Coturnix japonica: one gene and its partners. The protein of the gene in region 1 interacts with the protein of each later gene in a pairwise test. Links are inferred from orthologs where the notes say so. Each region holds a gene or a part of one and is shown in the gene's direction. Other genes may lie near its edges.

The links.
Region 2: the proteins of NDEL1 (region 1) and CCSER2 interact in binary tests that used the Homo sapiens proteins (3 or more experiments, as listed by UniProt). The link is inferred for Coturnix japonica from reciprocal best matches to the Homo sapiens genes NDEL1 and CCSER2.
Region 3: the proteins of NDEL1 (region 1) and CEP170 interact in a two-hybrid assay, tested with the Homo sapiens proteins (2 studies listed by BioGRID and IntAct). The link is inferred for Coturnix japonica from reciprocal best matches to the Homo sapiens genes NDEL1 and CEP170.
Region 4: the proteins of NDEL1 (region 1) and PKP2 interact in binary tests that used the Homo sapiens proteins (3 or more experiments, as listed by UniProt). The link is inferred for Coturnix japonica from reciprocal best matches to the Homo sapiens genes NDEL1 and PKP2.
Region 5: the proteins of NDEL1 (region 1) and MLLT10 interact in a two-hybrid assay, tested with the Homo sapiens proteins (2 studies listed by BioGRID and IntAct). The link is inferred for Coturnix japonica from reciprocal best matches to the Homo sapiens genes NDEL1 and MLLT10.
Region 6: the proteins of NDEL1 (region 1) and CENPF interact in binary tests that used the Homo sapiens proteins (3 or more experiments, as listed by UniProt). The link is inferred for Coturnix japonica from reciprocal best matches to the Homo sapiens genes NDEL1 and CENPF.

Annotation. Positions count from the first base shown.
Region 1 is NC_029533.1:1,496,566-1,500,531, forward strand, and holds the start of NDEL1 (nuclear distribution protein nudE-like 1), read left to right. Parts: upstream 1-1,166; 5' UTR 1,167-1,194; coding exon 1,195-1,245; intron 1,246-2,552; coding exon 2,553-2,650; intron 2,651-3,966. UniProt on the Homo sapiens protein: Required for organization of the cellular microtubule array and microtubule anchoring at the centrosome. May regulate microtubule organization at least in part by targeting the microtubule severing protein KATNA1 to the centrosome.
Region 2 is NC_029521.1:365,879-369,848, forward strand, and holds the start of CCSER2 (serine-rich coiled-coil domain-containing protein 2), read left to right. Parts: upstream 1-1,170; 5' UTR 1,171-1,313; intron 1,314-1,623; exon of another isoform or gene 1,624-1,842; intron 1,843-3,970. UniProt on the Homo sapiens protein: Microtubule-binding protein which might play a role in microtubule bundling.
Region 3 is NC_029518.1:31,700,099-31,704,170, forward strand, and holds the start of CEP170 (centrosomal protein of 170 kDa), read left to right. Parts: upstream 1-1,272; 5' UTR 1,273-1,468; intron 1,469-2,404; exon of another isoform or gene 2,405-2,518; intron 2,519-4,072. Other genes in the region: SDCCAG8 (serologically defined colon cancer antigen 8), read right to left, coding at 738-804.
Region 4 is NC_029516.1:53,608,103-53,611,602, reverse strand, and holds part of PKP2 (plakophilin-2), read left to right. Parts: intron 1-538; coding exon 539-677; intron 678-2,723; coding exon 2,724-2,931; intron 2,932-3,500. UniProt on the Homo sapiens protein: A component of desmosome cell-cell junctions which are required for positive regulation of cellular adhesion.
Region 5 is NC_029517.1:16,242,568-16,246,067, reverse strand, and holds part of MLLT10 (protein AF-10), read left to right. Parts: intron 1-1,044; coding exon 1,045-1,233; intron 1,234-1,652; coding exon 1,653-1,741; intron 1,742-1,867; coding exon 1,868-2,229; intron 2,230-3,500. UniProt on the Homo sapiens protein: Probably involved in transcriptional regulation. In vitro or as fusion protein with KMT2A/MLL1 has transactivation activity. Binds to cruciform DNA.
Region 6 is NC_029518.1:18,505,964-18,509,889, reverse strand, and holds the start of CENPF (centromere protein F), read left to right. Parts: upstream 1-1,126; 5' UTR 1,127-1,331; exon of another isoform or gene 1,332-1,383; intron 1,384-1,743; 5' UTR 1,744-1,785; coding exon 1,786-1,947; intron 1,948-3,308; coding exon 3,309-3,505; intron 3,506-3,926. UniProt on the Homo sapiens protein: Required for kinetochore function and chromosome segregation in mitosis. Required for kinetochore localization of dynein, LIS1, NDE1 and NDEL1.

The DNA of each region.
Region 1 (3,966 bases):
GTAATGAATTCTGAGTGGGCATCCACATGAGCCTGCTCTCATTTTCCCTGGAAGACGCTGCTGCATTGTCTTGTCTGCTCCTGAAAGCCCCAGTGTTGTTTGTCAAAGGCCCGATTCTGCAAATGCCACGTATACAGAGGAGCTTCTGAATGGGAAGGGCTTGTGCTGGGCTCAGCTCTGCACAATGCCTGCAGCCAATGCAGCCAACAGTGCGCTCAGCACGGCGCTTTGTATCCAGCTCTTGGCATGCCGTGGGCATCCACTGTCCCACGCATGGTCAGGGTTGTGTTAGATTCTCTTAGTGCTGTGGAGCTGCTTTTTGCCCCACTATGGGCAACGGATGGCAGAAGGGAAAGGTGCAGGTTGGGAGCTGTCTGTGTCTCCTAACCCTCAAAGCAGTATTTATGGTTCTGACCAGCTGTGGATGATGTGAGCCTGCTCTCATCTTTCTCTTGTCCCCCAGGCATGGGAGAGAAGACAGACAGTAAAAGCTTGTCTGCAGGAGTGCTTAGCTGGCATGTTGGCATGAGCATCGGATGGAGGTGTTTCTGTAGTGAGGTTGGTGGATCAAAACTCAGTGGTGGCAGCATTAGGTGTGATGGAAAACACGGAGCGTGGGGAGCTGTGAGCTGTTGCTGTATGATGAGATGGACAAGGCTGGGGCACTGCCTATGGCAGGTCTGCTCTGTCCCTCTGGGAGGTGGCTTTGGAGGAAGAGTGGGGCTCTGATGAACATGGGGGTCCCAGCACTGCTGGCTGCTGGCTGCTGCTTGCAGGGTGTTGGTTCCAAGGGTGTGTCTTGTGCAAGCAGACAGGAAGGAGTCTTGGACCCAGACACACGTTATCGTGGCTGCTTCTAGGAAATGATGTAAGGCACTTCCTCGTACTGACTTTTCTCTGAATTCAGCTTGATGGGTGGTTCCTTGGTTGTTTACCTTTAGACACAGCTGTGGGGCTGACCCTGTTCAATGCGGTGCTTCATTTAATGAGGTGAAAAAGTGATTCTGGCTGACTTGAGAGTGCCAGCTGAGAGCCAAGAGCCTTGTGACTTCTGCTGAGGTGGTTTCAATGTGATTGGTGTGGGACTGATGTTATGGACAGCACGCAGCAGTAATCAACTGCTCACCTCTTCCTCAACCCACAGATCTGCATAGCAGTTCAGGAGCTGCTTGACGTGTGCCTGAGCCACAGCAGATGTCTGCCTGCCTTAATGCATCAGCCTGTGAGACACTGGCAGCTCAGGAGGTGATTCATGGGCTCTGCATCCACTGTAAACACAGCTGATTTGTTCCTGTTGTCATTAAACTGCCTTGGTAACAGGTGCAATAACTGAAGCACATACACCCCAAGAGATTTTCATCTGAAGAGATACAGCAGGACTGTGGTGCTGGGGGGAATGGTGGTGCCTCCTATTGTTTTATTCTCAGCTCAGGGCCGTGTAGAAAAGGAGGCATGGTCAGTTGGCTCAGGCAGCATGAAGGCCTGGTTCGTCACAGAGTGCTACTGCAGCACAGCTGTAAGTTAAGTAAAGACAGAGAGAGAGCTGAGGGTTTTTGGATGTACTGAGCACCCTGCAGGTAAGGTTGGTTTCATGCCCTGGGTTGTAGCAGCTGCAGAGCAGTGTGCCAGTTTGGCTGTGCTTTAGGTGTGAGCCAGAATGGATGGGCTGCTGTGCCCTCTGATGGGAGTGCTGTCATCATATTGTCCCACTTCTGGGTGTCTCAAATGTGGGTCACTGAGATGCAGAGCATGACAGTGTGACACTTTCAGGCCTGGAGGGACAGCATTGGCTATTGATGACTGTCAGTATGTGAAAGTCAAGGCTTCTAGGTCATCTGCAGTGATTAATCTGCTGTGACGAGCTTGGTACAAACATTGTTTAAAGCCTCTGCAACAGAAGTGAGTTTCAGCTTATTCTTTTCTGGAGATTTATGATCTATTTTAAATGGTGTTTTCTGGAGAGGAAGAAAAAAAATGGCTACCTGTGAGTAAGAGGGAGCTTGGAAATGGAATGGAGCTGCCTGGGGCTGGGAGCTGGGCCTGGCTGAGTGTATCCCTGGGTGCTGCAGTGAGTGCAGGTCCACCACCAGCACTGCTTCATCCTCATCGTCATCTTCAGTAACATCTGAGGTCTGGTGTGTGGGGTGCTCTCGTGTGCAGTCATAGTGAACAGTGTTTGTACTATGCACTGTAGGAAAAACCTTTTACAAATCCAAGTGGAAACTGTGATAGCTGTAAATCATTACCCCTGGTGGTCCTAAATGAGCCAGTGGCTTTAACTGCTGTTTCCATGGTCGGTGAATGATACAGCCCAATTTTGTGGTCTCTTTTTCAGGCTGCTGCATGAGCGTTTCCAGAGGTTGGAGACCATGATGTTACTTGTTGCAGCTGGTCTTTGCTCAGAGGTGGCTGTTAGGAATCATTAACATTCTGCAGGCCAGTCTCAAGTCTGTTTGCTCCTGACAGGCCACAGCTTTGAAGTACAGCAGCAGTGGGGGGTTACTCTGCCTGCCTCATCATACTAAGCGTTTTCTTATGTCTGCATCCTACAGGTCATATTGAACATGGACAGTGAGGAAATTCCAACCTTCTCAAGTCCAAAAGAGGAAACTGCCTATTGGAAAGAGCTTTCCTTGAAGTACAAACAAAGGTACTGTTGGATATTTTCAGAGTGGATTTGGTTCTAGATGACTGAGAATGTAGCTTAATCTATTTCTCTGCTAGACTTTAATCAAAATGAGCATTAGATGTATTAAAATGAATCTCACCATTTCCAGCTTTAGGTGCAGCTTTTAGATCCAGCCTTGTGCAGGCTGAGTATTTCATTCTCAGTGTTACTATGCCATGAACTCAAGACTGAGCACGTTAGAGCAGGAGAAGAGCTCTTCTATGATCATGTGTATGTTTGTATAATTAAAATGCTGTCTTAAGTACTAGCTTGATGTTTTGCAGTAGGAAGACTGCCTGTGGGTTTGCCTGGTATCATTACTGTTCCCTCAGGCTTCTTGCACTTGGTCTGAGAAGTTTCTTATTTGGTAGCTGGCTGCAATATGTTGAAGCACATTCATTATAGCTCATAGTTCTGCCTGTGTTTGCCTCTGCCATCTTTTAAGGGGAGCAGAAGGCTTTTTGGTTACAAAAAGTGGCAAGAGAACTTGTTGTCTTGTGTGCTGCTTGTGGTTTGTTGTGGGGAGGGGAGTCAGTAGTGGTGGTTTCCTGCTCATTGCCTTTGGAGAGCTTTACTTGCACTCTATGTTAGTGTGCAATAGAAGCAAAGCCAGCTAAACCTCTCTCAAGTCCAAGGAGCCCAGTGTGCAAGCTGTTGTTTTGTTTGGGTCTGTTTTCTGGGTGTAGGGAACAGAGGGTGGGCATTTGAGATCCCTGAGCTGTATGAGAAAAGTCTGTCAGGTCTCTCTGAGGCCAATGAATATGTAGCTTCCTAAATATCATCAGTTTTCTCTGCTGGTTGCAAAGAGTTGAGCTATTACGTATGGTAAAGATGAGAGTGTAATTAGTGAAATATGTGGAGTTGCTGCTTCTAGTAATTTAATACCTTGCAGTGGCATAAGGTGGGTAAATGCTGGCTTCCTACCAAAGCACTTAGTAACCCTGAGATCCAAACCTTAATGCTTTCCAGCAAACTTATATTTCCAGGTAGTGCTGAGATGCAGTGACTATTGTTCTGTGCTGGTTTTTGCCTAAAGCAGGTTAAAAGCTTTACTTAGTGACTCTCTCAAGGCTGCTAGAGTGAAGGCTAGTGGGGTACCAAGTGTCAGACTTGCAGGAATCCTGGAAATAGCCTTGATATAGGTTGTATTTGCATGTGTATTGAATAGAGTTATTTGATATAAAGGGCTGAATTTCCATTTGTAGGTAAACAATGCAGTTTCTCTGTTTCCCCCAGTTTTTACTTTCCCTGTAGAGGTCCCTGGTTAAGTACTTTAAAACTCTTGGTGCTTTTTCACC
Region 2 (3,970 bases), on another chromosome or scaffold:
AGTGTAAAATCAATTGAACAGAACGTCCTCAAGATGGAGACACATCAAATATTAAAATGATACGGAAAGATAGCGCACTCGATCATGGCCAGATCTTAGCCTGTAGTCTGACACTAGGACTGTCAAGACTGTCCTCTTACTTAGGCAGTCAGAAGTTCAAGCTGTACAAGTAATGTGTCCCTTTCTGAAGTTATTCATCACAGCTATGAGTTTTGCATCTTAATTGTTAGGCTACACGAGCACTGTGGCAATTTGTTAGATGTCTGAACACATAGTAGAGGTTCTCAACTCTAGGCTGGGCTATCTTTCTTTTCATATATATACATATACCACCACTTACAGGTCAGCAGACAGTGTATGTGCCTCCCCTGTGCTGGTATAAGTGTTCATGGTCCTCTGGTCTGGCAGAAAAGGGTATTTACAGTGCTGAGGATGAAGACATTACTTGCCAGCACCTGAGAAAAGCAGTGGGAATTTAAGAACACCCTAGTCAGCCTGTGATATAATTTATCTTAATTTTGGGAAGGAAATTGAGAAGTTGGAAGGAAATTTCAGTGGTCATTTCGTACAAAGCAGGAACAAGTCAAATCTGTGCTAATGCTGTTGATGTTGATGTTAGTGCTCAGAAGCTGAGAATGACTGAAAGAGGATGACTGTGCGGTTAAAGCAAGGCCGCCTGACTCAGGAAATCTGAGCTCATTTCCTGGCTTTGCTATCTCTTTAGCTTTGCGCAAGAGATTTAATCTCTCCACTTAGGACTTTTTTTTTTTTTCTTTCTTTCTTTCTTCCTGTACCATAGGGGAACAATTACGCTTCAAGTTATTCTAAGAATAAATCCATTAATGCGACGGGTACATTCAAGTTCAGGCGAGAAGACATACAAAGCCTTTGGCTGTTGCTCCTTATTTTAAAGAAGGCCTTTATTCTGCCTAGGGGGCAGATGTATCAGGGTTCTCACAGGGCCGCACGGTCTACATGCTGGGCTACCTGCAGGCCTATCTGCCTAAGCTCTGACATGCAGCCTGTTGTTCTACCTGCCTAATGGCCCCGTTACGGGGCAGAGCGATGCGCACATCGCACACACCGACGGGAGCGGGCGGGGCTGGAGGGCTGGGCTCGCACCGCCCGCCGTGACGCCGGGTGGGCCGGGGGATGAGGAAGGGAGGCGGCGGGCATGCGTGGAAAGGGCTGAGCGCTCCGGCCCTCCCTCCTCGGGGCCGCCGGGCGGGGCGTTTTGCGGCCGCTACCTGGGTGCGTGGAGCGGCGCGGCTCGGATCGAGGACGGGGCGGCTCCGGCTGTGCCCGGCACGGCGGTGAGTGCCGTGTCCGTCCGTGGCGCTGCGCTGCTGAGCGACCCTCGGAGTCCCTCGGCTGGGGGCGGTGGGTGGCGGCAGGAGGGGGCTGCGGCATCGCCGGCTCCGCAGGCCGTGCGGCTGGAGGCAGGGAGGGGCGGGGAGGGCTCTCCTTGCGGGCTCAGCCGCACCCTCGGGGACGCTGCGTGCCCCAGGTTTGTGCGGGGGGCAGGTAGGAAGCGGCTTTAGGCAAAAAGAACCCGGCGCACGGCTGTTTGAATACAGCAATTAAAAGCAACGCTGAGATGTTCTTCTCCGTGATGTATTTCAGCTGTACCGCGGCTCAGATTTTCCTTGAGCCGTCCGGAGCACGTTAGGCGTGTTGCGCGGTGACACAGCTTTGCTTGCATCACCGTGCCGCTGCCTGCACTTTGACACGCCATGAGCCGCCGGCAGCCGCAGCCCTCAGCTCGCAGCACATCGGCTGCACCGCGAGGGGTGCGTGGGAGCTCGGTGCTGTAGTGCGATCCAGGCCGTACAGCGGTTTGAGGTGAGGACGGGAGCTGTGTTATGCCGGTGCGGGGAGCGGGTTTGTTTCTGTTGTACGTGGGCCTCCAGCCTTGATTTGATGCAGAACAGGAAGTTCTGGCGTTATCACGGTGCTGGAAACACATTGAGATGGCATCCAAGGTCCCTTTTGTTGTGTTTTTATAACGGGGAACGCTAGAGGAATTTCTTGAAACTTGGAAAATATGTTTTCTGTACAGGGTTAGAAGTTGGAAATGCTTCATCATGTTAGTGTGACGCAGTGAGTATTTAATCCTGTTTAGTCATACTGAATGAAACTGACAGTTTCTCAAGCATTTATAGGCTCGCATACCCCTAAATGGTATGGGCCCACCTAGAATGTAATACTTCCAAGCTGAAGAGGTGTCACCAAGCAGATGGTAAGCTGGGATCTGTGTCAGCATACAGCTTGCAGCAGCTACAATGTAAGTTTAATCTTTGCTCATAGTCAACACCTTTCAGAATAGCGATCTCTATGTCTGCGCTCCAGAAATGGCTGAGTGGTGTCTTTAATCATAAGGCTGCTTTAAAAAGTAGGAATGTTTAGGGTTTTGGAGGGTTCTACAGTTACTTTTTGTGCATCATGACACCTTGTGTTTCTGAATTTAATAATTAATATGTATGACTATATGAAACATGAATAGTAATGACCACAATTAACATGATGGTCTCAATTAACATGGTGTTATACTAAGAAGTAATCCTGTTTAATGGAACTGCTCGTGTAAAAGCTTGCTGGAGTAAAACCTATTAGTTTTGGACCTGATCATCCTTTAAGATGGATTGGTTATTTGGAGTAAACCAGTTGCAAAGAAGAGCTGGCACAGGCATTTCTCTACATAAAGTCATCACACCTTCGGTCGTCAAAAGAACATTGTTTGTCTGCAGTTGTTAAAGAATGTAGGTCTGTGGGAATGGAGGAGACAAGAGGGAGCGAAAGGTTACAGCTGTGGCTGTGGTGTTTCCTTTTTGCCACTGTTGTGAATTGTAAACTGCCATCGCCTTAATTAGAAGCTTTCAAGCAGGATTAAATTCTTTGCCAACAAGGATGCTAACAAGATGAAAATACTAATGGTGGTTTTGATAATTAGGTTTAAAATCCTGTATTGTGATTCAATTGAAGCAATACAGAGGCTTATGTAAATCTCTGTATAACTGAACGTGTGTATGTTAAAATGAAATCAGAACAGCATTAAAGTAATTATTCCAAAGGTGAAGCCTTAGTCAGTGTAGGTCTCTGTATTTCTTCTTACCTCTGGGACACATATTGAATCTCAATTCAGAACTTCTGTCAAATTAGATGCAGTTTTGAGGATGCTCAGATCCTACCATTCTTAGCTTAAAGCAGCTTGATTCACAGAGCTGGGTTTTACTTTCTAGCTATTTTCCCTCTGTTCTGAAGGGGGGGATTCAGCTGGAACTCTTCTATTGACAGTACTGTATAGTGAGACAAGAATCCTGGGGCTGGGGGGTGTGTTTCTCTGGTTATGTGGGGAACTGGTGACACAAGTTCTCAGTGAAATGCCTTTTTCACAGCACAGTTTGTTGGGATTTTCATGTGCTCTTAGTCCATGATGATTTGAGGTAGTGTTCTGCAGAGTGCATTTTAATGGCTTTGATTGAAGAGGAAGCATGGCTACTGCTGGCAGTGTTTGCTCTGCTTGCATTGCCTTAGTTTTCTAGCCAGAGGAAAACAGCTGGTGAGATTTTACTTTAATGTGGTGGTTGAACAAGTTTGGGGTCTGGAAGAACCCTTTAATTGCAAACAATTTCTGACTTGCAAAAGAACTCCTATGTTTTAGGCTTCGTTGGCCCAGATGGCTTGTGGCACACTCAGCATAAGTTAAGCTGAACATCATGGGAGTGTGTCCCTGAGTATCCTGGGTTCTCTTGGCTCAGAAATACCACGTGTGGTTTGGGCTCTGTATAGATAGAAAGATTCCCAATAGACTATGAATTTGTGTGATACTTGGTTTCAGTTTGTGAATCATATTAATGATAGAAATACATGTAAGAAAAACTAGACTTTACATAGTAATACTATTACATAGGCTTGTTAATCAGTGTTTTTTGATGAGTTGAGTTCTTGCTTCCAGCTAACATGCATCTCA
Region 3 (4,072 bases), on another chromosome or scaffold:
GTCCTGGAGCATGTCCAGAGAAGCGCAACAAAGTTGTAAGGGGTCTGGAACACAAATCTAACAGGGAGCAGCCAAGGTTGTTTAGTGTGGAGAAGAGGAGGCTCAGGGGTGACCTCATCACTCTCAGCAACTGCCTAAAGTGAGATCGTAGTGAGGAGAGGGTTGGCCTCTTCTCATGCATAACTAGTAATAGGACTAGAGGGAAGTTGCACCGGGGAAGACTCATGTTGGACATTAAGAAAAATTCACTCTCAAGACGAGTAGTAATGCACTGAGACAGGCTGCACAAGGAGGCGGTGGAGGCATTCAGGAATTGCGTGGATGCGGCACTGAGAAACACAGTTAGTGGGATGATGGGGACAGGTTGGCAGCTGACCGGATGATCCAACAGGTCTCTTCCAACCTTAATAATTCAGTGAAGTTCGTTACAGAGCACCTCAGAAACCACCAAGAGAGCTGCAACTCGTGACAAACAGCCCGTCACAGCAGTCACAGCTCACCAGACAAAACACTTCCAAGTTCGTTCTAATTTCACTAGAAGCTCCGACTCCCGCGAGCACTTGATGAAAAACCCAAACCTCAGGAAAGCCACCTCGGGCCGCTACAGCGGAGCGCAGCACAGCAGCACACGGCAGCACGGCAGGAGCCGCAGCGCGTCCGACCGCCGGCGGGCTCCCACCCGGTGCCGGGCCGTGCAGGAGCGGCCCGTTCTCACCCGCCCGCAGCGCCGCGCTCACCTCGGAGCCGCGCCTGGTAGCGCTGCAGGGACTCCTCCAGGGCGGGCTGCCCGCGAGGCGCCCGCATCGGGCCGCCACCGACCGCCAGGAAGGAAGGACGCGCACCGAACTTCCCGGCGCTGCCCCGCGGCACTGAAGAACCGCTACTCGCACGAGCTCCCTCCCGTTGCTACAACACCAACCACCAGCCGCACCCCGGTACACGCGATACACAGCCCGCCCCCAGCCGCTCGGTGCACGCTGGGAGGCGTAGTCCCCACCCGCTCCCCATGACGGGGACCCGCACCGCTTCCCTTCCCCTCTTTGTTGTGGCTGGGCGCTGACGCCGCCCTCGCGCCTGCGCACTGCGCACTCCTGCCGCCCACGTCCCCGCTCCCGCAGCGGCTGATGGCGGCGCAGGCCCCGCTCAGACCGAGGGGCGGCGCCCGCCGCGCTATTGTCTGAACGGGGCGCATGCGCGGCTCCGCTTCCCCCGGCTCTGCCCCCCGCGCCTGCGCGGCGCCGTCCGCCCTTCGCGCCCCCCCCGCATTGTGTGAGTTGGGGCGGCGCCTGCGCAGCGCGGCGCGGCTGTGCCCGTTAGCCGCTATGTGCCGGGAATAACGTTGCCGCGGTTGCCGGAGGAACGCGGAACGGAGCGCCCCGCCCAGCGGGGCCGCACGCTCAGCGAACAGCCGGAGCCGCCGCTATCGGCAGCGGGTCGTCCCCGCGGCGCGGAGAGCCTCCTCGGAGGGGTGAGCGGGGGAGCGGGGGGAGAAGCGGGGCCGGGGTCGCGCCGCCCATTGTGTCAGCGGGTGCCGGGCGGGCCGCGCGCCGCAACGCGGAGTCCGGTCGTAGCCGCGGGGCCCGGAGGCCGCCCCCGCCTCCATCCGCCCTCGGCATCGCGCTGGGAGGCGTGGGGCGGCGGCGGGGCGGGATGCGGTGCCGCCCCTCCGGCCCTGGCCGCCGGCACACACCCCCCGAGCCGCCGCCGCGCCTCCCTCGGGTCCCAACGCGCCCTCGGCGGCGGTGTCCGCGCTACGGCGGTCAGCTGACGGACAGGGCGGCTGATGGAGAACGGCCGCCTGCGCCCTCTCCCCATTGTGCAGCCCGCCAGGCCAGGAGGCTCCTCTGCTCCGCGCCGTCCTCCCGTGTGTCCTCGCTTCTCCCCTTGGTGCAGCGCGGCACGGCCGCCCCCTCCTCCTCGCGGGCGGTCGGGGCCCTCACGGGGCCCGCGAAGCTCCGGGCGGGGCGGGATGGCGCGGTTACCGAAGCCCCGCAGCGCCGTGCTGCTCGATACGGCGTCACGGGCTGTGGGTGCGATGCTGCCGAACGGGAGACAAAAAGAGCAGCCCCCTTGTGACAGCCCAGGGAACACAGAGAGCAGCCGCCGCACGGCGGTGTGAAGGTGTTTTCTTTGCTACGAATAAATATTGAAGCGGTTTGTAAGACGAAAACGTGCTGCTGGCACCGTGGTAGACAGTGGACATGGCCTTCCGAGGGCCGCTCTGACAGCGCTGCTGGCCCAGAGCTCGCCTGTGTGGGATGGGGCTCCTTGTGTAAACTGAGCTGAGGCGTGAGCGCATATGCAGCGATTTCCTGTGATTAATTTCCTCTGGGAATTGCTGTCCAGATGCTGAGGAGCCCAAACTGCGGGGAACTGAGCTGTCACCATGGGAGCTGCTCAGCTTCGAATTCTATTTAACAACGGTTCTGTCTGAAAGGGGTCACAAAGCCACCTCACTGGGTGGGGAGAAGAGCGTGGCTGAAGATGCATAGAAATCTATCCAAAGCAAAGCAATGAGGTATTATTGTGTTTTTTCCCTCTCATTTCTCAACTACCTAAAAGTTATTTGTAAGGGATCGGATACAAATATTTTCTCATTCTTTTAAGAGAAATATTATGGTTTACAAGTTGTTACCAAGCTTCCTTTCTTGTGGCAGCACAGGGATTTCTTTGATGACTGTTCCAGTTGTTTTGCAGGTGCCGCCTGCCTCCCTTATCTGCTCAGGCTGAGGTTTGTGAATCAGAGTAGTTTCTCACTATCTTGTGCTTCCGGACTGTGAGAGACGTGGCATAAAGGATTTTAACAGTTCTCTTGGTAACATATGAGCTGGAAAAGAGCCAAGTTATGAAAGGGAACTACAAAAGTTGATGTACGCTTGCAGGTGGAAGCTGGGAGCTTCCCTGAGTGACAAGAGCTCAATCTAATACATGGGTAGCTGCAGAAACTGATTTTGAAGTTCCATTTCTAGTTTTTGCAAACAGAGGGGAAAAGTACTTAATGTGAATGGATACCACTATGTCTGCTTGGGTCCCTAAAGAGAACTATTGCAGTATCAGCACCACCTTCCTTGGCTCTGCAGGCAGAATGACACTGGAGTGAAAACAGACTAGTTTTACTTAAACCAAAAGGCCAACAGAATCTGAAATTCTGCTTTCTCAATAGAAAATGTTGGGCAGGAGAGCATCATGGCACAGATTCTTTTATCTGCTTCTGACATCTGTGAGCCGCTCTCTGTAGAACGTGCTGCTTGTTGTGCTAAATGTTGGTGTGGCTGGGACCAGGAAGCTGCAGATGAGGGAAGAAAGTCTTTTGTCTGTGAGGGATGGAGCTTCTGTCTGCTGAAGTCAGGTGCATGTCTCTTCTACAGCGTCCTATGGCTGTGCCAAGCGAGTCTGGGAGGTGTCTCTTGCTGCCTGCCAAGTTTATAATGCTCGTACAGAGCACCTGCGCTCCTTCTGGTCCTGTGGTTGTTGCTGTATCTTGCATTGTCATGTTCTTTGAACATCTTCGATGGCGTGATGTGCAGATAGCAGCTTCCTTCTGTGTGCAGCGCTCGTGCTGCTGTGGGTCAGAGACCACGCAGTGTGCTGAATGAGCCGGTTGTCCTGGGAAAAACAGAGCGTGGTCACATGGCTTGAATTGTAAGGTATAATGTATGCAAATGGGGCTGGGAGGAAAGCACAAACTACTTAATTAATCAGTTCTGTGTATGTCTGCTGTATAGACACAACAAAATATTAAAATCACAAATGTTTGGTTCACTTTTATCATATAGTTTCTTCCAACGTGTCCTCTTTTAAGCTGGGAGGCTGTTTTTATTTTAGAGATGCATTTATAGTTAGAGGCCATAAGACACTTTTATTTCAAATTTTGTTTGATCTTCAAAAAAATAAAACAACCAACCAACACGTAAATTAATTTTAAATTAATTTAAAAGCACATTTAAATTAATGTGCTTTATTTTAATCTTGCATTATGTCAAAAGCAGTTTGCCCCAGAAACTTCAAATAAAACCATCAGAGATATTTTATTGGATGGCTCCTGATGCTGCAGTGCTTTGTTCAGGCTCTT
Region 4 (3,500 bases), on another chromosome or scaffold:
CAGATGTGATGTTCTTACTTAGTTTAATAAGTGGTTTTGTTCTCTTCTACTTGAAAAAGTCTTTTGCCATCTGTTTTAAACTAAAGCAACTTCTGCACATTTGAAAAAAGTCAGGGACTGAGCTCTGCATATATATAGGCTGAGATGTGAAAGTCTGAGGAAAGGCATGAAAACAAATAGAAAAAAATATACTCACACTGCTGTGAAAAACATCACAAAAAGTGAAAAACATCTTCACAAAAGTAAAAGTCACACTGCAACTCAGCTTTAGCCCTCCTTGATTAGTTCTTCCACCTGCTCATGTTTCCATATTGTTTTTAATTTCAAGTGTGACTTGTTTTGTCCAGAATGTCTCATTGCTGCAACAAATCAATTTATGATTTGCATGTTCCCCAGAGTATCAGTATCTCTTAAAACATTTATAATGTTGGTAAGGAAACAAATTTCTAAGAAAAGCTAATTAACAAGGTGGTTCACAGGCTAAATAATGATTTTTCTAGTCTTTCCTCACTGTGTTTTCTCTAATTGTACTTTTAAGGAGCCCAGAAGTGGAGATGACTCTAGAGCGTGCAGTGAGCATACTGAAGAGTGAAAATACACAGTCAGCACCTCGGATACTTACTGCAGTGACTTTCATACAGCACGAATGCTTCCAGAAAGCAGAAGCCAGAAGAAGAGTAAGTGACTGTTTTTACACAAGTTTTAGTCAGGTAGAGCAAATTACTGTACTGTACCAACACAAGAAAATGCAGTCCAAGAAACATTGCAGGATACTGGTGTTGAATATTTTCCCTAAAATATACTGATGCTTTTTGCTGCAGATTCTTTAAACCAGAAGAGTAATCAGTAGAGTAGCACTGGTCTATGCTAGCAAAAGTCTGGTCTTCAGCATTTTGTGATAGGAAACATGGAAACATAGAGTAAGAAAAGACATCAATAATTCATCTAAACCATTTGCAATTGCAGATGTTTATGATCAACTTTTTAAAAAAGGATACCACAAGCTGCTGAAGACAGTCAAGAATATTTACTATATCCATGCCAGTTATTTGTAAAGTGTAACTAAATCTCCCTTTGCAAACTAAGTTCTTTTCTTGTTCACTTTATCTTGTTTCCACATTCAGCATGAGTTCTTTTCCTCTCTCTCCTAATGCTTTGTTTCCTGTTACCTGATACTTTGTAAGTCTAGTGGCTTTTTTTTTCTTTTAAACATGTGGTCTTACTGTATTTTGGTGGACTTTGTTTACCAGAGAGTAAGACAGGTCAGTCAATAACTTGTAAATTCTCTTCTGCACATGAGGTCCAAATAATACCACTTATCTTGTAAAAGCTGCAACTAAACTTCAAACTACCAACAGAAAGCCTGGATAAATCTTTTTAGTAAAAAACAAATATGCAAACAAAACCCTAAGGTATCCATGTCAAACTGGCTTATCTACTGAAATAAAATGGGTTGATGTGCCTTCAAAGTGTTTTATGCTCCATTTACCTTTAGATATAGACTTCTGTATTTATTTCTATTAGAACGTAGATGATGGTTGGGTGAAAGCAAAATAGATTATATCAGCAATGCTGTAGCGAGAAACTGTGTCTTTTGTACAGCTGGATGAGATGAAAGGTGGACATTCAATGTAGTTTGTCAGGGCATGAAGGTAGCAAAAGGCCCTGTTGCAGTTCATTTCTTCCAGAACCCAATACCTCTCAGTCAAACTGAATTCCTCTTATCATTAAGCTCTGGACTGCTCAAACAGTTGTATTAGGTTTCTAAGTCTTTCACATGCTGTCAGTTCCACACAAATATGTGTTTGTCCACAAAACCACATGGTATTTTTAGATGCTGGAGGAAGCAGTCCTTAATTTTACATGAAAGTAAGGTACTTTCTATAGTAAACTCACTCCTAAATGAGCCAAGGCTTGCTTATACCACATCACAGCTCATGTTGAATTTATCATTTGCTACAACTTGTAGAACTTGGAGACTATATGTTTCCTCCTTAAAGCTGCTGTAAAATAACATCTTAATTCTTCATTCATTTGGGGCCAAAACCCCATTTTCTAAAAATCAGACACTGAAGAGTAGTCTTTGTTACATGTGGGATTCAGTAGTTGAGGAGCTTACAATGTTTAATTGTCTACATTTTGAAGTTAACTATTCTTTTCTCAGTATGCCACAGATAAGTACTAAGTAAAATGCATTTTTACTTAATATATATTCACCACATGCATAGAAGTTGACAGGGAAAAATATTATTTTCCCACCAGTCTGGCTGCCGAGGAAAAAAAACAAAACAAAACAGTTTGGCACATCAGGAATTCATTACATCCAGAAATCTCAAAGCACTTTATGAGTGTTCCAGAGTTAAATCTCAAATATCCATCTCACCAACATGGAAGCTAAAATACAGAGCAATCAAATGTCTTGTCAGAAAGTCAAATCTGTGGCAGAGCTGGCAGTGATTTAGTTTAATTCTCTTGCGTTAATTACTAAAATATGATTCCTCCCTTAGTTGTGGATTTAACTGTGAATCATACAAAAGCCCAGAGGTTAGTATCATGCCCAAGTGATTAATGCTCTGTGATTTAAGTGTTTCAAATATGAAAATGAAATAAATAAATAAATAAATATTCTACAAAAATGCTTAAACTTTTGGCAAGGGAGAGATGGAGTGGAATTTGTCATTATCACTATCTAACCATTCTCTGCTGTTTTCTTTTCTTCACAGGTTTTCTCACTTGGTGGTATCCCCAGACTTATACAGCTTCTTGAGGTTCAGAATGAGGATATTCAGCGAGCAGTGTGTGGTGCTTTGAGAAACTTGGTGTTTGAAGACAATGACAACAAACTGGAAGTTTCCGAGCAGAAAGGGATTCCTGTCTTGCTCCGTTTACTCCGACACACCAAGGATGTAGAAACTAAAAAGCAAATAACAGGTAGTGTTTTCTGTTCATATAAGCATGAAGTGCTTTAAGTAGGACACAAGTGCCTGATTGCTTACTTAGGCCAGTGTTTGGTGTCTTAAGTACAAGAGCACCGTCACCTATTCTGAGTTCTCTTAAGGTGAGATTCCAAGGTCATTACTCAAGACCAACAGCAAGAAAAGACTAGGAACTGAAACCTTCTCTCAAAGCTTCTTCCGAAAAGATGTGTCTCTGCGTTTCTTGCCCTCTACAGCAGCTTAACCCTCCCTGCAGTTCTCGGATTTCCATTCTGGAATCTGTGTTGGATCTGTCCCCCAGAACTGTCAAGGATTGGGTACCAGTTGCACTGCTTCCTTCTTTAAACTCACTCACTTACAGCTGTTTGTACCCCACTCTACCTTCTAAGATGACTGACAAGAAAATACTACCACAGGAACACCATGCTTCCTTTGTGTGCAAGAGAGAGAATTGCTTTATTACGATTTGGTTGTAAAGATACTAGGACACAATCAGTGGTGTGACCTACATTTATAAATCAGTTTCTGTGAAGGTTATATCCTCATCCTTTTGGTTCCAGTTTC
Region 5 (3,500 bases), on another chromosome or scaffold:
TGGGCTCACTGAGGGTTCCTTTGTATGTTCTTGAAGAGGAGGGATAAAAGCTAAATCCTTGGGAAATGACCAGATGTGCCTATACCAGTAGACTTATGTCTGTAGTAGGCCCAGAGGTCATGTTAAACAAATACAATTTAGAATTAAAAAAAAAAATAAACGGCTGTCCTTGTGCCTTTACAGTCATGCTGTAATGTTGGTTGGGAAACCCACCTTCTGAAACAAAACCAGAGTTCGAGCAGAGTGAGCTTGCTAAAATACCGTGCTAGTACAGAAGATGATGTCCTTTATCTGGAGGGGGGAAAAAAGGGGGAAAAAGAAGAAAAAAAGAAGGGGGGGAAAAAAAAAAGGGGTGGTGACTGGAGTGCTCACACAGTGCTCCCTGCTGGGTGATTTGTAGATCGCCACTCAAAGCGAACGAGAGCGCTGCCAGCAAGGTGGGTCGTGGTAGCTTAACAGTGGGTGAGATCTTGTCATTGCTGATCTAAGTTTGGGTGTCATTGTACAGCAGATGAAAATAATAATTCCAATGTCACAAACTTTAGTTTATTTGTACATAGGTGTAGCTGGTTGTATCGTTCGTTGAATGCGTATTTTCCAAACGTTTCCTGTTGGGAAAAATAGATTTTTCCCAATTAGGTTCTTAACCTGTGCTATTAAAATAGTACTGGTTTTGTATTCTGGTTTGCAGTTGTTGTGCACTTATGTTTACTCAGTGTCAGCCCCAGAGCTGAGGCTCCATGTATCCATATACAGACAGGGTGTAGGTACAGCACACTGTTACTATTGCATACTACATACTTTTTTCCACGCTTCAAATTGCACAAAATTGGTCTGGGTAAAGTCAAATTTGTCCTCATTTCTCACTGATAATGTTGCTTCTGTTTTCACATATAGCTCTATTTGCTAGTCCTATTTTGTAACATATACTTTAGCATTACTCATTTTCGAAACTTCAGGGACTGTGTTGTGTCACCATGACTTTTTACCGAAAGAAGAAAAACTTTGTGTTCATGAAAGATAACATCCCTGTTTTTATCTTAGTTTTAGGAATGCTTAAATCGCTACACCAACTTCAGGTTGAAAACAGGAGGTTGGAAGAGCAGATCAAGAATCTGACCGCTAAAAAGGAACGGCTTCAGCTTCTCAACGCGCAGCTTTCAGTGCCCTTCCCAACACTGACTTCAAATCCCAGCCCCTCTCATCAAGTACATGCCTTTCCTGTACAAGCAGGTAAGTGGAGTATGGAAGTGTGGAAGCGATTAGAGTGATTTATACAAAATAATGGCACATGCCATTGATGGAAGGTATTATGAGAACAGAATAAGCAGTTCTTGATGTGGGGATTAAAAAAAATACCTCCGATGTTTAAAATCAATTGGAAAACATGTATAAATTTATAAATTACTTGATTCGGCACGGCTTTTTTGTCTTTTAGTTTTTCAGACTGAAGTAGTCTGAAGCACATCTGCTTGAATCTATTGATTCACTAATCATCAAGTTAATATTTCACTGTTCAGCAGTCATTCTGAGGTTGACTTTACATTTTCTGTGTTTGCCTCTGGCATTATTTGGAAATAATTATTCAGAATATCTCTTTATGTGCTGCAGAAATGTAATCGCTGTATGTTTTTTTGCAATGATTGCTTTAGCACCAAGCACGGATTCCTTGAACAGCAGTAAAAGCCCTCATCTGGGAAACAGTTTTTTACCGGACAATTCTCTTCCCGTGTTAAATCAGGTAATGCTTATTTCTTTCGTCTAAATTTAAAGTTATTACAAGTTTAACTCATCGTAGTCTTTCTGTTTTGCTGCAATGTGAAGTTTTAAGCAGCTGAGAGGGTTTTGCTGTTTGTTTTTACACCAGGAGATAACCTCCAGCGGACAAAGCACCAGCAGTTCATCAGCTCTTTCCACTCCACCACCTGCTGGGCAGAGTCCAGCTCAGCAAGGCTCAGGAGTCACGGGAGTTCAACAGGTCAATGGTGTGACAGTGGGGGCACTAGCTAGTGGTATGCAGACTGTAACCTCCACCATTCCTGCAGTGCCTGGTGTGGGTGGAATAATTGGAGCGCTGCCAGCCAGCCAGCTGGCAATCAATGGAATTGTAGGGGCTTTAAATGGGGTAATTCAGACCCCAGCAACAATATCACAGAACCCTTCTCCTCTCACTCATGCAACGGTGCCACCCAATGCAACGCATCCTCTGCCAACTACATTAAACAACAGGTAAGAATTTGCTGATTTATCTGTTTCTCGTTAGTGTCTCCTGTTCTTCAGTTTAGCTTTATTTTTTAGCTGTCTCTATAAAGAAGGTACGTTTCCTTCTTCAGCCTGCAGTTGTCAAACTGATTTGGGAAAGAAAGTAAGCAGAAAGGCGAAGCATGAACAGTCGTGTTAAAGATGTTTTCTGTTCAGCTTTTATGAGTCAGCGTCATGTCCTTTTATTTGTTGTCTTTTCTTTTTTTATTTAATATTCATGTTCTAAAACAAATGTAAATATACAGATGCGTTTCAGATCTATTTTTAGTTCAGAAAACAATGTTCTTTGTCTTGCCAATTCTTCTTCCAGGATTCAAGTAACACGGGGAGAGCTACCGTTTGTTGTAGGGGTGGAGGGGAGGGAGAAGGGGATCAGAATACGGTCATGTAGTTAGCGAGGGAACAGGCGCAAATAACCAGAGCAGCGCTACACCTACATGGGGATTTTGGTGTCTATCCCCAAATTAGTTTTTCAAGACATTTTCTAAACGATTTTTAAATGTGTAAAAAGGTCTGTGTCTGAGCATTCATGACTACCCTTTTGCTAAACGCAGACAGAACTGCTGCTTGAAGTGCAAGGTAAACGCGTAACAAAAGGAAAGAACTGCTTTCCAGGAAGGCTTTGGGCTGCTTGGTTTGGAAGTGTTTTGGGGTAGAGCAGAGCCAGGAATAGCTGATTCATGAACTCCTGATAACTCCTGCTTCCCTTCCCCCCATCCCTCGCACTGCCTTTGCTTAGGAAGGAGAAACACGTCTATCTGTAGGAAAAAATGCCTGCAAATAGGGAGTGAATTACTTGTCTTTGAGTTTATTTTTGGAGATTATGTTGGATTACCCCCAAAAAGGGAACGTGATTGGAATGGTGCAAGGGATTCCTGATTCTGAAGCTGCCTATTCTGGTTTCTTTCCTCACTGTTCCTTTGGCACTTCGTGAATGTTCTTGTACCGTGTTGCTGCCTGGTATCATTTCGGTAGGCTTGTCAGACCTGAAACTAATGTGTGTCTTTAGATGCTGCAGTATTTTTACTGAGGTGATTGTGGGTTGATTTTGTTATTTTTTTAGTTTATGTTGTATATGAACATAGAATTTCATAGATAAGGCAACAGACGGTTCCTTAAAGAGAAGATATTTTCTTTTTATTTATTTATTTTCTCTCTTGTATATCAGGGTTCTTGGAATACGAGAATTTTCATTTACCTTCCCCAGAAGTGTAAGGGGAAAGTCTTAGCAAAGTCAG
Region 6 (3,926 bases), on another chromosome or scaffold:
GTATTAGTGCAGATTTAACTTTGTATTTCCAGTGCTAACACCTAAACTGCTAACTTCTTAGTTACCTACTCACACTGGCAGAGATAGAGAATTGCATTTTCCAGAGGCAAGAGGCATCATCTCTTAGCACAGGGTGGGGTTTGGGTGAGGCTAAAGGAAGTGATACAGCTTTCTTCTCTTTCTCCTCCAGCCTGGCAGAGCTTTTACCTCCTCAGTGCCTGATAGGAGAGCTGGGAAGCTACAACCATGTCAGATGCTGAGAGCCTGGCCCATTTCTCTGCCTGGGTGGAGGAGAATGCTCCACCTCTTCAGATGCTCTTTGATGTGTATGTATATGCATAAACACACACACATACATATATATGTATATATATACATATGAAATAGGCTTTACCTGACAGATTCCACATCTGGCAAGGTGAGGGAAAAGGTCTATCTGGTTTCTGCTCCTTGTAGTGTCCAAGTAGGCTGGGATTTTCTCATCAGAAGACCATTCATTTCCATTTTTGCTTCTTCACCTGCTCTGACACAAGCTGGTAATAGACACTGGACACTTCTGGTAATAGAAGTCTAACCTTCAGTGCTTGTTGTATTCTACTTATTATTTTGGAGCTTTACCAAAATGATAGGAAGGAATGCACGCAACAGAAGGTGATTCTTAACATTTGGTAAGACATTCCAAGGATAAGGAAAAGCCACTTCACAAGGCCAAGGTAGTTCTTTCCCTCTTCCAAATTAAGGAATTAGAAAGACCTTCAGAAAGACTTGAAGAATTCGAGCTAATGGAGAGCAGTAAACATAATTAAAAGTAATGGGCCAGCTAATGGTGGCTGTTAACACCCTTCATAACTTGCTATTATTTGTTCATAATATTTGTCTTAGTGTCTTATACTTTAATATTACATTTCCTAGTATTTTTGTGTCTTACTTTTAGTTCCGTTTACACACAATTCTCACAAGTCTATTGTGCAAAATAAGGTTGATATACAAAAGAATGGCAGGTTTCTGTACTCTCTTCAATCTTTCACGATCATTAATTAATTTCTTTAATTGCGAGGTATGAAATAACTCATTTTCAATTCATTATCAACAGAAACTCAGAAACAGTTCTGACCCTTCTTAGAAACATGCTCCCTGCAGCGAGCAACTTCCGATGTTGTTTGAACGCAGCCAAAGCAGCCAATCCCTGCAGCCACCCGACCGGCGTTGCGCTCTCATTGCAGGCTGGGAGGACCCGGCGTGGAGCAGCGGCTAATCAGCGCTCTCCGGATGAGCCACCGCCTGGGCGTGCACAACGGCTGCCGGTGCAGCGGTTGCTTCGAATAACGGCGGTGAGCAGCGGGATCGGGTGGCGGTGGTGGTTCATCGTAGGATCTATTGACGGTGAGGGGTTGGGGGCAGGAGGGTCGGGCTGAGCTGTTTGTCCCTGCGTCTGTCGGCAACGGAGCGATTGGAAGCGCTGAGCTCTGCAGTGTTGCTTTGCAGAACGCGTGGAGGGTGAAGCAAAGCTGCAGGCTGAAATTGCACTGTTGCTGTACGAATGGCTTTTGAATCTTCTCTTAACTGAACAGAAACGTGTTAGAATAAGACCTAATGTTAGAAGCTGGCAGCTTGCTCAGGAGGCTTGCAAGGTGGTAACTGTAACCACTGCTGTGTTAAAAAGTAGATGTACTGAAAGGTAAACGTGCGAGAGTCAAATAATCCTCCTCTTTAAGTCTAATTGTCGTTGCCTTTGTTTTTCAGGCATTGTTACCACGTGTTTTGTAGAGGAAAAGCCCGGTCAGCATGAGCTGGGTTGTGGAGGAGTGGAAAGAAGGCCTGGCCCCCCGAGTCCTGCAGAAGATCCACGAGCTGGAGAGTCAGGTAGACAAGCTGAAAAAAGAACGTCAGCAAAGGCAGTTCCAGTTAGACTCTCTGGAGGCAGCTTTGCAAAAGCAGAAACAGAAGGTAATGTGGGTACTGTGCTAACTTCCCTAAAGTGCCATTCTGCAAGTAACTGTGTGAAGCTTTGTTATCTGATTGTTGTTAGAAGATGATTGATTTTCTGTTCTTCATACTGACTGACTGGAAGGTACCATGGAAATATAAGCTGCTTCTCTTCATTGCTTTCTCTTAGCTGTTTGTCGTATCCTGCTCTTTATCAAGTTTTGATTGCATTTATGCCTCCTGTCAGTATTTGGAATGGTTGTCCATCTCTAAATGTGTGCTTACTGTGAGGCTTTTCCCCAGGCTTTATGTTTAAGAAAATGTTACCTTATTATGCCTGTTAAGAATCTAGGCCTCTTACATGAGAGTGACACAACAGATGGCCTCTGTTTCATATTGTCTCTGTATGCTTACTTGTCCATTTTGTTACTTTAATTTACATGCATCTCAGATTTCTACTTAAATATCTGTGTTTGGGGATTTCTTTCTTTCTTTCTTTTGCTTTAGGGCTGGGATTTTTTCTTCTCTGGCTTTACCTTGTCAGCCCTCTAGCCAAGAAGCTGGCAACCCTCATAACCTGAATTCTGCCTTGCAACATTAGAATACAAGTTAGATACAGTTGCAAAAGTTTGTCTTTTATTCCTGTTTGGCTGATACAATTTTCTAGCAAAACTCAAGCTTAGTTTTCCTAGGTTATTGTTATTTTTTCCCTTCCTGTGTGTTTCCTAGTAGGGTCTGAACTTCTGTGCTCTCTAAATGGGAGGTGGGGAGGGGGAAATACTGAAAAGAATGGGTATATTCAAATAAATGTGTTTTAAATCTTACTCAGAAGCAGCAGCAAATACTTTTCAGATGGAGGCAAAGGTGAGAGGAGTTCTGGTGTCCTTCTTCCTGGTAGTTACTGCCGAGCAGCAGGTGGCTGTATGACTCAGAGGCTGGAGGAGAGGAGAAGGAAATCTCTGTTGTTAGGCCCTATTTCTGACACAAACCTGCAACCTTTTAAAATGATAACACAATTTCCCTTTAGTTAGTAAGAGTATTCTGATTGCTAAGGCTTAGAGGATGGAAAGAGAAATGAGACAATCGTTGAAGTCTGCAAGCTGTTGTAGACCGCTGTTTAAGAGCTAATGAGTTTTTGATGTGATGATGTCTAGTCAGTAAATTGGGTATTAATGTGTCTGAGTTGAATTCTAAGAACTGTGCTTTTGTTTAAACCCAGGATGTTTTGAAAGTTGTTTTTGGCTGTTTTTGATCTGATGTTTTCAGAGCTGATAGGGTTTGGAAACATAGGGAAGAAAATAAGTGTGTGAACTGCAATTATTTTAAGTCAAGATGCGTAGATAAGATGTTAAGCATTTTGAAATGTTCTTTATTCCAACTAGGTTGAAAATGAAAAAAACGAAACTGCAAGTCTAAAGAGAGAGAACCAGAGCCTGATGGAATTGTGTGATAGTCTTGACAAAGCAAAGCAGAAAAATTCACATGATCTTCAAGTAAAAGAATCTCAAGTCAACATTCTGTCTGGGCAGCTGAGTTCTAGCAAAAAAGAAATTGAAAGATTGGAACAAGAACTGAAAAGGTAGAGTGAGAACTTCTTTGTTTTTTTCCTAACTTACAGTCAGTTATTTTCTCCTGTTTTCCTCTTTTCATGTAGCTTTTATGGTCTTTCAGTTTGTCTTCATCTTACATGTTCAAATATTGTGGCCAGAATTACAGTACTTCACCCTGTTTTTACATATGCCTATGTGAGCTGTATGTTGATATGTGTGCAGCTTGAAGCAGTGATTGCCCATTGTTTGCCCCCAGTTTGGGGTTAATTCTGCCACCTTCTTATGAGAAAAGGTAACATCTGCATTAGCAAAAAGAGTACAGCTGAGTTACTTGGCAAAAGTATACTTTGCAAAGGGCTTGGAGTTGTAACAGAAGTGCATGGATAACTTAAGATCAAGTCTACTTAAAATTATGACAGCAGGAAGAAGGGGTGGGCATTTCTTGGTGTG